3 linked regions of the Cricetulus griseus genome follow. The protein of the gene in region 3 purifies or fractionates together with the protein of the main gene of each other region. This does not show direct contact. Links are inferred from orthologs where the notes say so. Each region holds a gene or a part of one and is shown on either strand. Other genes may lie near its edges. The genes, in order: Mettl18, Ncl and Rpl3.

Evidence for each region.
Region 1: the proteins of Rpl3 (region 3) and Mettl18 purify together in Homo sapiens (affinity purification with mass spectrometry; 3 studies listed by BioGRID and IntAct, with this or other methods). This does not show direct contact. The link is inferred for Cricetulus griseus from reciprocal best matches to the Homo sapiens genes RPL3 and METTL18.
Region 2: the proteins of Rpl3 (region 3) and Ncl purify together in Homo sapiens (affinity purification with mass spectrometry; 4 studies listed by BioGRID, with this or other methods). This does not show direct contact. The link is inferred for Cricetulus griseus from reciprocal best matches to the Homo sapiens genes RPL3 and NCL.

Annotation. Positions count from the first base shown.
Region 1 is NC_048598.1:28,341,809-28,345,557, reverse strand, and holds Mettl18 (histidine protein methyltransferase 1 homolog), read left to right. Parts: upstream 1-1,299; 5' UTR 1,300-1,437; exon of another isoform or gene 1,438-1,525; intron 1,526-2,193; 5' UTR 2,194-2,391; coding exon 2,392-3,507; 3' UTR 3,508-3,557; downstream 3,558-3,749. Other genes in the region: C5H1orf112 (uncharacterized protein C1orf112 homolog), read right to left, coding at 1,132-1,242. UniProt on the Homo sapiens protein: Protein-L-histidine N-tele-methyltransferase that specifically monomethylates RPL3, thereby regulating translation elongation.
Region 2 is NC_048595.1:438,023,650-438,027,298, forward strand, and holds part of Ncl (nucleolin), read right to left. Parts: coding exon 3,176-3,649; intron 2,941-3,175; coding exon 2,752-2,940; intron 2,666-2,751; coding exon 2,579-2,665; intron 2,532-2,578; exon of another isoform or gene 2,462-2,531; intron 2,390-2,461; coding exon 2,248-2,389; intron 1,762-2,247; coding exon 1,637-1,761; intron 415-1,636; coding exon 291-414; intron 1-290. UniProt on the Homo sapiens protein: Nucleolin is the major nucleolar protein of growing eukaryotic cells. It is found associated with intranucleolar chromatin and pre-ribosomal particles. It induces chromatin decondensation by binding to histone H1.
Region 3 is NC_048595.1:377,236,430-377,240,178, reverse strand, and holds the start of Rpl3 (60S ribosomal protein L3), read left to right. Parts: upstream 1-1,032; 5' UTR 1,033-1,165; coding exon 1,166-1,168; intron 1,169-1,572; exon of another isoform or gene 1,573-1,636; intron 1,637-1,904; coding exon 1,905-2,097; intron 2,098-2,781; coding exon 2,782-2,950; intron 2,951-3,557; exon of another isoform or gene 3,558-3,612; coding exon 3,613-3,748; intron 3,749-3,749.

The sequences.
Region 1 (3,749 bases), on a different chromosome or scaffold from region 3:
TCGTGAAAATGCCTGTAAGATTGAGGAAAGAAAAACAGGCTAGCATTATACCAGACACACATCACGTAAATAAATATCTTGGAGTAGGAAAACAGCTGTTTCCAGGAGGAAATTCCAAAAAGACAGTGTTCCAGGCAGGCACACATATAATTCGAGGGCCACAGACACAGGATCACTGCAAACTCAAGACTAGCCTGCTTTAGGTAGCTAGCACTAGGCCAGCCAGGGCTACAGAGCAAGACCTTATCTAAAAATCAAAATAACTCCTTATTTGCACAAGGAGTATAAAAATCGGACACATAGGATTTTGCTAAGGTCTAAGGAATGACTTCAACGTGCTAGAAATACTTAAGTTATACTGATTGTGAAACATCATTCGTGCAGGGTTTGCACTCTAGAGAAAGTGATGGTCTTTTGGTTTTGGAGGGAGGAAGGGAGAGTGGGTGGGTGGGTGGTTGGGTGTGTGTTAACTTCATATAGGAGGTGGAATCAAAGACAGAGAAACTGATGGTCTTTGGTTTTGGGTGGGTGTGTGTGTGTGTGTGTGTGTGTGTGTGTGTGTGTGTGTGTGTGAACTTCATATAGGAGGTGGAATCAAAGACAATACTAAAACCACCTTTTAACACGTAGGGCGTAGGCTTCCAGTTACAAACACAAAGCCTGATGCTAATTATCATCTGCACCTGACGATTAAAGCCAAATCCCGAAGCAAGGCCTTCTAAAAACAAAAACAGGTTCGAAGGGGGAAAGCATTCCTTGTTTACAGAATATCCTTTAAGGACATGATCCCACAGAATAACTACGACTGCATCCTTCAATTCTCACACTTCAGATACCGGGCGCCAGCGCTGGCAGTGACGCTCAGGCCTGGCATCTGGGTCCCGCACTCGGCAGCAGGCGCGGCCCAGGGAAGAACTAAGAGACAGTGGAACCAACAGGCGGGAGAACGCCAGTCATCTTCAAACGTTCCAGTCGCCATCGTCCGACAATGCCAGGCGGGCCCAGGCCCCGCACCCACTGCTGTCCTCGCCCTTCCACCGCCACCCGACAGGGTTCGAGCGCAGCGCCAGGCCGCCCGCGTCAGTGAGGCAGGAGGCTCGCGACCCGCCCCTCAGCGTCCTCCAAGGATATGAGGAGCCGGGGCAGCACCGAAGGCAGCTCCCGGCGGCACACCTCCCGTGACCAGCTGTTGAGTTCATCCAGCATGGCCCGGCTCGCCTCCACCTCGTCGTCCTGAGACATCCTTCCGCCGCCAGCCACGGGCGAGCGAGTACAGCTCCCGCCACAAGTTGGAACGGTAGTCACGCCGTCCCAGCAGGCTTTGAGAGCGCTCCGCCCACACCAAACCATAGAGAGGAGGCCCTTCGTCCCCACGCGTCCAAGTCTTCTCTAGCCACCGGAGGACTCGCCTCGCTGGTGTGCGCTGCGTGCTTGATGGTGAGTTTCGCCGCCGGACTTCTGCCGCTTACTTCTTTCGCCCTGATGTCTGTTGGGTCGTTAGAGTGCTGAGACCAGAAGTCCTCAGGTTTGTTATACCCTCAGTGCCAGGGGTTTTGAGACTCTGCGCGTAGGGTGAGCTGGACCTGTAACCGGGAATGACTCTCAGCACCCCAGTGCAGAAGGTTAGAAAGTAGGGATAATGTTACTAGTGCGAGTTCTTCCCTCTGCACAGCTCCTGCCGATTGAACAAAGATCCTACCTTTTAGAAATTTGCAAGTTAAAACGGGTATTATAAAAGTCTGGCACATTGCCGAAAGGGTTTCCATGCAATTGATTTTGCTTTCGACAATCCTAGCTTGTATTCATTCCTCCAGTCGCATGCCGTTTAGAATTCCGGATGAATTTACAAACATCAGATCACACCTGTACGTGTCTGAAAACGGATGTCCTCCTTACCCAAATAAGACCTTAAACTGTTTTTAGAGGCAGATTAACAGACAGAGATGGAGATTGTCGGGAATTTAGGGGGCACAAGGCAGCTAAAAGACACCGAGTAGCTAGTCTGTCCTGTCTAAAAATCTTGGGCTTTATCTTTTGTTCTGGTAGAGGTGGTTGCTGTTATAGCTGTTATTTTGTTTGTTTTTGTATTTTATCTTCTCCTTATGCATACTTAAGGTATCTGTGAATTTCCCCCCTACACACACTACACAGCTTTTTAAATAACCATCCCCCCCTTCTCTCCCCCACTTCCAGGGCTGAATTCGAAGAGGAACAAAGGCCTCTGGAAAGTGTTTGGAAGCCTCTCTAAAATATATCCAGGGGAGGATAAGCAGCTAAGGGACATCCATCCCAACGGAACTGATTGATAGCGTGACTCAGTTACACCATTAAATCCCATCTAGAAGTTGAAGCATCATCCTTTGATAAAGATTGTGTGTGTATAATACGAGGATGGCCTTTCAATTTAACTTTAGTATAGAAGAAGACCTGGAAAACAAATTAATACCCTGTGGAGATGGGACTTTGACCCTGGATTCATCAAAAGAACCACCAGTCTCAAAAGGTCAAAAAGGAAAGCAGGACAGAAAGAGTTCTGCAGAACTGTCAGACTTGCTTCTGGATGGCTTGAGGGAAGGCTCCTCAATGGGAAAAACAGCTTCCTCTGAAGACACTGACAGCCCACTCAGTGCAGCTGACCGTTCAGGTGACCCAGAAACATGTGAGAAACAGCCCTTCTTGAGAGCTGCTAAAGAACATGCTATGCCCAAAGATTTAAATCAAGTCTTAGCAAATAAGGTTATGGAAATGTTGCCAGGTCCCCAGCATGTTAACGTAGCAGTAGTGAAAACCATCTTGTTGAAAGAGCAATTCCCTGGAGAAAACATAGTTTCAAAAAGTTTTTCTTCTCATTCTGACTTGATTCCAGGTGTTTACGAAGGAGGCTTAAAAATCTGGGAGTGTACCTTTGATCTCTTGACTTATTTCACAAAGGCCCAAGTGAAATTTGCTGGGCAAAAAGTGTTGGATCTTGGCTGTGGATCAGGGTTGCTTGGAATAACTGCAGCCAAAGGAGGAGCCAGAGAAGTTCATTTCCAAGATTATAACAGTTTGGTGATCGATGAAGTGACCTTACCTAATGTGGTTGCTAATTTCCCTTTGAAGGATGAGGGCAATGATGTAAATGAGCCAGATGGGAAAAGACAAAGGAAGTCAAAAGTAGCCCAAGAAGAATGTAAATGTCGGTTTTTCTCTGGGGAGTGGTCTGAGTTTTGTAAATTTGTATTAAATGAAAAACTGTTTGTGAAATATGACCTCATTCTCACCTCAGAAACCATTTATAATCCAGATTATTACAACACTTTGCATGAAACAGTCCTCAGACTGTTGAGTAGGAATGGCCGGGTGCTTCTGGCCAGCAAAGCACATTATTTTGGTGTTGGTGGTGGTGTTCATCTCTTTCAGAAGTTTGTAGAAGAAATGGATGTGTTTGAGACTAAAACACTTGAAATAATTGATGAAGGTCTCAAGAGGTTCCTAATTGAAGTGACTTTTAAGTACCCCAGTTAATATGCACTGGGTGGTGGCCTAATGGAATAAACAGAGTAATTCAGAACTTGTGCTTGTGCCTGTTTAATTTCTTTTTTACTATTATTTTTTTCTGAAATTATAGTATTTGCATAGTTCTGCCTATTGAAATAGTAAGCCAAGTGCAGTAGCAGCCTTGTATTTTCTATGTAAAACGGCAAGTTTCCCTGAGAATTTGATGAACTCTTGAGTTACTTTTTATGAAAGTTCTCCCTCCATCTTCA
Region 2 (3,649 bases), about 61 Mb from region 3:
TTCTCTTTCAGACTGGATCAATCTCATGTAGTTCAGTGTGACCTTGAACAGTTCCACCTGCTAGTCTGGAGTCCTGAGATTAAATGTGTGTACCACCACTGCCTGGCTCCATGACTTGTGGATATGTTTGCTTTCTGTAACCTCATGTTAGCTTCAATAAATCATAAGTATAACCAAACAACACGAACTACCTTAGACCCTGTTTAGGGTATGAGAGGGGAAGATTATACTCAGTCACCACTCAAACACCTTTTTATTAATAAAGCTAAATGATTAAGACACAAACATACCCTTTACTCTTCCCATCCTGGCTAACCAATCTGATCTCCAAGGCATCTTCAAACACTTCTTTTAATTCATCCTCAGTGATGTTGAAAGAAAGATTTTTTGCTAAAAGTGTCCTTGCAGCTCGAACTACATTAAACAAAACAAAGTTCATTATTTAACAAGTCATGAATTAATGCAAACAGCTCCTATAAAGAAGGGAAAGGTTCTACGCTAAGAATGATGGGATAAGGGATGGAGATGGTGAATTCTTAGCACTCACACTTGGCAAACAAACATGTAGTCTACACATAAACATATAAGAGAAAGGAAAAAAAAAAACAAATCCCACCCCACCCATTTAACTTGTGACAATAAAGGAAAAGAGTAATGGCACAAAAAGTAATAATTAGGAGCCCGATATAGTTTGAGAGGACCTTGTTTACTAATCTCACTGCTAATGAAAAATTTCAGTCTAAAAATTTGAGCAATGACATTAACAAAAATGGAAGGCAACATGTGATGTGGCCTGTTATCAGCCTGTCAAAATGCAAGCCCAAACGTCCCCACAGTTATGTATACTAAGGTATATATGATACACGTTTATTTTGATTCCATCTCTAAGATGTCATCACAAATATGGATTATTGTACAATCAGTAACCTGGGTCTATACCCAGTAAGTTCTTGACCTGCATAAACTGCAATTGCTGAGCTACCCTGTGTCAAATGTTGAAAAGGAGATTGAGGATATGTAGCACTGTGTTAAGAGGGTCTAGGTTCAATTTTTTGGACCCCACTAAACAGAAAACACTTCAAAACCCCAATTCTAAAATACAAAAACCCTTTGGGGGGGGGGGTGCTGGAGACATGGCTCTGCTGTTCTTCCAGAGATACTGAGATCAATTCCCAGCAACCACATGGTGGCTCACAACCCTGTAATGAGATATGATACACTTGCTGGCGTGGAGGCAGAATGGTGTATACATAATAAATGAATCTTTACATGTGGCCCCAGAGGACAAATCTGGAGTTTCTCTTACTTCTATAGATCAAAATCATGTCATCAAGTTTTTGCATTAAGCACTTTTAAACATTAAGGTATCCATCTTGCCAGCCAATCCCACAATTTCCTGAATAAGACCATCCTGACTCAGGACTGTCAGTGCCACAGTTCACTCTCTGGCCTCGAAAAGTTAAAAGATTACACTCGATTTTTAAAATCATCAATTTTGACAGTAGACGGCAGCAGTACACCCCTAGAATTGAACTTGTCAGACTTCTCACTGTGGACCATTCATGTCAATCTCACTGGTTTACTAAGGGAGAAGGGGCAAAGCCTACCTTCTAAGTCACCCAGTCTCTTTACGTACCTTTTTTACTATCTCTTCCTTTTGGTTTTTCTAGTTTAATTTCATTGCCAAACACTTTCAAACCGGTGAGCTCCAAGGCCTTTTCTAGGTCTTCAGCTGACTCAAAGTCCACATAACCAAATTTCCTTGTAGATGAAAAGGACAAGATTATAGGCATGAGAGCGATCTAGGCCATATTCATCTCCCATAGAATCAAGCCTATGTACCTAGACAGGATAGCAAATCTACACAGATTTAATTTACACTGTTAACTGATAGTACTAGCTGAAAGAGGAACCTAGCTAAATACTAAGAGTCCTTTTGGCCAAAAGCATTCACTATAACTATTCAGATCCAAGTCTTGCCTCCAATGCAGATTCACCTGCCTCTGCCTAAGTGCTGGGACTGAATCGTGCCCTGCCACCACCTATCCAAAAATGCCAATTATTGCTGTTATTTGACATAACACAAAAGTCAAATATTGAAATTTCAAATTTGCAAGTTCCATGACTTGATGACTTAGTTCTTTAATGTCTAGTCTTCATTAAAGTAATTATATACCTCTGTGTTTAAGAGCATGGAGAATTTAGAAGCACCAGCTAACTCAATTTAATGTTCAATGAAAAACTTACCTATTTGTACCAGTTCTGACATCCACAACAGCAAGATCATTTTTAGCAAAAAGTTCACTGATGGCAACTTTTAATTCAGCAACAGACTTGTTTGGGTTAAGGTTTCCAATGAACAGATTGAAAGGTGTAGTTGATTCTGAACCTGCACAGAAAATTAACTTTAGTTCATTTAAAACCTCACCATACATAAACATCAGCATAAAACTTCTATAAAGCACATCAGCACACTGAATCTCAACACCAGGTTTCAGTATTAAGTCCCTTTGTCATTCATCACTTGTGCTATTGCTACCTTTATCTCCTCTCACAGTCCCCAATCTTACAGGCTTACCTTCCACTTTCTGTTTCTTTGCTTCAGGAACTTCTTTCTGTTTGGTCATTTCCTTCTTCCGTTTTCCAGGTGCTGGTTTAACAGGCTCTGGATAAGATTTTTAGTGTCATGAGTAGGTAAGCACTTCCATTAAACATTACTGAGGTCAGTGTACCTCAATGTAATCTGCTTACCTTCCTCTTCTTCCTCTTCCTCCTCCTCCTCATCTTCTTCCTCTTCTTCATCCTCCTCCTCATCTTCATCCTCCTCTTCATCATCATCATCCTCCTCAGCCACATTCTTGGCTTTCACAGGAACAACTTTTGCAGGAGCTTTCTTTCCTTTGGCAGGTGTGATCTCCATAGCTTCTTCTTCTTCAGAGTCTGAAAGAGAGCTGGCTTAGTAAGCAAGGGCATTTGCTGCCAATCCAGATAACATGAATCTTATACACACTAAAAAAGTCTTAGAGAAATAAAATTCTGACAGCATGCTAAGTTATGGAAAGAACTATGAGCACAAAATGTGACTTTCTAATCTAAGCACGAAGTGGTCAGGAAAACTACATGCATTATTGTTGGCAAGATCTCCTAATCATCCTGCAAACAGAAATCCACCTACCATCCTCCTCCTCTTCATCCTCCTCCTCCTCCTCTTCATCCTCTTCCTCGTCTTCATCCTCTGAGGCAGGAGCAGCAGCAGCTACCTTTGCTTGTTTTCCTTTCACTACTGGTGGCTCAAATTCATCCTCTTCCTCATCCTCTTCATCCTCATCACTGTCGTCTTCATCATCGTCGTCATCGTCATCTTCATCACTGTCTTCCTTCTTAGCATTCTTACCATTCTTAGCCCCCTTGGCTGGAGTGACAGCTCCCTTTTTACCAGGGGTTGCTACCAATGCTTTTGCTTGTGTGGCTCCCTTCTTTCCAGGTGTTGCAACTGCTTTGGCTGGTGTAACTGCCTTCTTGGCTGGTGTGGCTGCTGCCTTTTTACCTGGAGTAACAGCAGCTTTCTTAGCTGGTGTGGGAACTGCAACTTTTTTTGTTTGTGAAACAACCACCTTCTTTGCTGGAGTTGCTGTAGCCTTCTTTCCTT
Region 3 (3,749 bases):
TTAAAGGCATGTGCTAAAAATTTAAGGATATTCTGTACTTGGTGTCCCTCCCACTTTTAGAAATTCTTTTACTTTCCTTTAATAAAACTATGTTTGTGTTCCTAAAAAATACATATATTATATATATATATATATATAATATATATTTTTTATCTGGAGAGATGGTTCAGTAATTAAGAAAACTTGTTGCTATCCCAGGGGGGACGGGGTTTGGTTTACAACACTCACAATTGTCTGTAACTCAGTTTCAGGGGATCTGACACCCTTTTGTGATCTCAGCAGATGCCGGGCACACACATAGTGCACATACATACATCCTGGCAAAATACTGATACATACACATAACATGAGTAAATCTAAAAATTAAGAACAAAATATGGGGGCTGGAGAGACGGCTCAGCTTTTAAGGACACTGGCTGCTCTTCCAGAGGACCCGAGGTTCAAGTCCAGTACCCACATGCGGCGCACAACTGTCTCTAACTCCAGTTCCAGGGATCCGACAGTCAGACATGCAGGCAAAACACTAATGCACCTTAAAAAAAGAAAAGAAAAAAAAAAAAAAAGAAGGCAATGTGAACGGGACATGACATCTAGGTACTGGAATGGCAGAGAGCGGACTTGACGTAGGTGTGCCCGAAATCATAGCGAATTAAAGGCAAGTCGTTGTTGCATTAAAATCACTGGCTAGGCAGAGAGCAAACGAGTTTCATACAGTCTTTACAACGTAAAAGCTCGCTAGAGCAGCACATCAGTTCCATCTAACTAAGCCTGCTTCAAGGACGTTCGTTTCGATACTGGATAGTACTGAGAGGGTTAGCACGCCGTGACACAATTCTAGAGGTGACAGCGTAGCTTACGGACAGAAACAATGCGGCCATTTTTCTTCATTATCATCAAGTTTGGCTGCTGCAGAATGCCGTAGACGCATTACATTCGAAACTGCAGCATCTCTGAGGCTTTGTGCCACGTTTGAACCCAACCACTTGCCGTAGGACGTTATTTGCCAATCTGGAGTGGGCGGGACAGGGACGTTCGCTGCGCGTCCTTCGACCCGACGTCCTCTGCGGCAGCACGCTCAGACGCTCAGTGGGCGGAGTCACTAGGTGGCTTTATATAGGCTGCTCGGCCGCCTGGCCGGCCTCTATCGGCGGCGTGTGACGGCAAGATGGTACGTGTAGCAGTCCGGGCTGGGGTCTTGCTTTTTGGGTTAGCCTGGATACGTCTGCGGCCCATCGACACTGGGAAGCTGCTCTAGCAGCACAGAGAACTTCGCTCGGGCCGCCACGGCGCTTAGATCTCTATAGAAAGCGTGTGCGGGGCACAGGCCTGGGCCTGTACGAGAGGCCTAGGGTTCGGCACAAGCCTGACGGCCGCTCGTGTTATAAAACTGGTTATTTTTGGGGTTTGGACACGAATTTTACCTTGATTGACCATGTGGCAAGCATGATGGAAGGCGGCCGTAGGCATTGATTGCACTGGCTGAAACGGGAGTCATTGTGGGAAGCCTCACGAGCTTCCATTTTGGAATGTGGTTCCGCGAAAGGAAAGTGCGCCTCCCGAGTTCCCAGAAGCCACAAATGATGAACCTTCTGACGGGCGGACAGAAACTCTGTGCTGATTGTCATGTTCTGATTTGGCATTGGGAATTCTAGAGGCTTAGCTGTAAAAGGCTGGCTCTCGAAGCTCTGTGGCCCATTTTAGCAGTGAATCATAAGGGTGTTTAGCAGAGCTTAGCTGTTTACTGTCGATGGTGAAAGACATGGCAAATGTTTGCAAAGACCCTATACAGGATTGCCATTTCACGAGACAATGTAAAGTGACATGCTCTCGTGGGCTGGTTAAGTAATAGGAAGGGTTGCTGAGGTTGAGATATACTTAGTAATGTTGGTGATTTTCTTTCCTAGTCTCACCGGAAATTCTCTGCCCCGAGGCATGGGTCATTGGGCTTCTTGCCTCGGAAGCGCAGCAGCCGGCATCGTGGGAAGGTGAAGAGCTTCCCCAAGGACGATCCTTCCAAGCCTGTTCATCTCACAGCCTTTCTAGGCTACAAGGCTGGCATGACCCACATCGTCCGGGAAGTTGACAGGCCAGGATCCAGTATGTAACTTACCTTGTCGAACTGGGGACTGGGTATAACTTCAGGAATGATCGGTACCTGGAGTAAATTTGGAAAGTCATTGTGGGACAATTCCATTTTGGTTAATTAAATTTGAAACAACCTGACCTGAGGTAACAGTGCCTACTAAGAGACTAAGAACAGTTCTCAGTCGTGTATTTCAGTAGACAGATAAGGTAGGCCTGCCTGCGCAAAATCATACGGGGATGTAGTTGGTCTTTGGAATCCACATGCGGTGAGGATAAAAACCTAGTCCTCAGGGCAGCCAGTGCCTCCCTCCTGAGCTTTAAGGATTGTTCCCCAAGTTAGCAGTTTCATGTCTGGGAGTGACTCATGGAGAGATTAGAAACCATGGGAGTGATAGCTTTTCTTACAGTATGAGGTGAAGTGTGGCATTTTGTCAATACTTGCTGAATGCTGGGATTTTAGGTGATAGTTATTACTTGGCTTCGTGTCTGTTTCTTCACGAACAGCAAGCATGCCTTGTGTGGGCTAGGTATTGTGGCACACGTAGAACCTTAGGGCTCATCAGCTAAAGCCACCTGTTGTGGCCCTGGAGATGGGAAGAGTAGAGGGGGCCAAATCTGAAGAGGCAGATGGCCTTTTGTTGTCGGCATTTCAATATTGGTAGTCATCTACCCACTGATGCCTGTTTGCCTTCACAGAGGTGAACAAGAAAGAAGTTGTGGAGGCTGTAACCATTGTGGAAACACCACCCATGGTAGTTGTGGGCATTGTGGGATATGTTGAAACCCCACGAGGTCTCCGCACCTTCAAGACAGTATTTGCTGAGCACATCAGTGACGAGTGTAAGAGGCGTTTCTACAAGAACTGGTAAGGAGAGTGAGAACCCAGGAAAATCCTGGCCTGAGCTAGAATTTAGTGAACACGATACAATGTTTATGGGCTTTTTATAACCCCCCTTTAATGCAGGGTTTCTTTGGGGGTGTTGAGAAAGGGTGGCTTTCGTGGCTGTCCTGGGACTAGCTCTTGTAGACCAGGCTTGTCTCACTCAGATCTGCCTACCTCTGTCTCCAGAGTGCTGGGATTAAAGGCGTGGGCCACTACAAGCCTAGCTTGTGCTGGGTTCCTTGGTGGATTTTTTTCTGAAATCTGAACTGAAAGATGGCAAATACAGCTAGGAAATAGACGTTTGCCTTTTCCTTGTGTGGTTTGGAGGCTTGACTGTAGTAGGTAGGTCCTTTTAACCTTTACTGTGAGAAGGTCCCCAAGTTAGAGAAAGGAGATTCTGTGCCCTGGAGCAAGAATTGTGTGTTTTCTATGTGGCTTATATTAACCTGTGGACCTCTACTCAGCTCCGCTCGGCTCTGCCCGATGAGCTCCATCCAGGCTCCGCTTGCTGGTGGAAAAGGCTCCTTAGAAGCCGGCAATGAGCCCCATGCCCACATGGTGCCAGTGTTCCTTCCTCTCACCCTGTGCAAGGGTGATGAAGGCCTGCACCGGGCCCCTCCCCCAACTCTGCTCTGCTCCTGAAGGCACAAATCTAAGAAGAAGGCCTTCACCAAATACTGTAAGAAATGGCAGGATGACATGGGCAAGAAACAGCTGGAGAAGGACTTCAACAGCATGAAGAAGTACTGCCAAGTCATCCGCATAATTGCTCACACTCAGG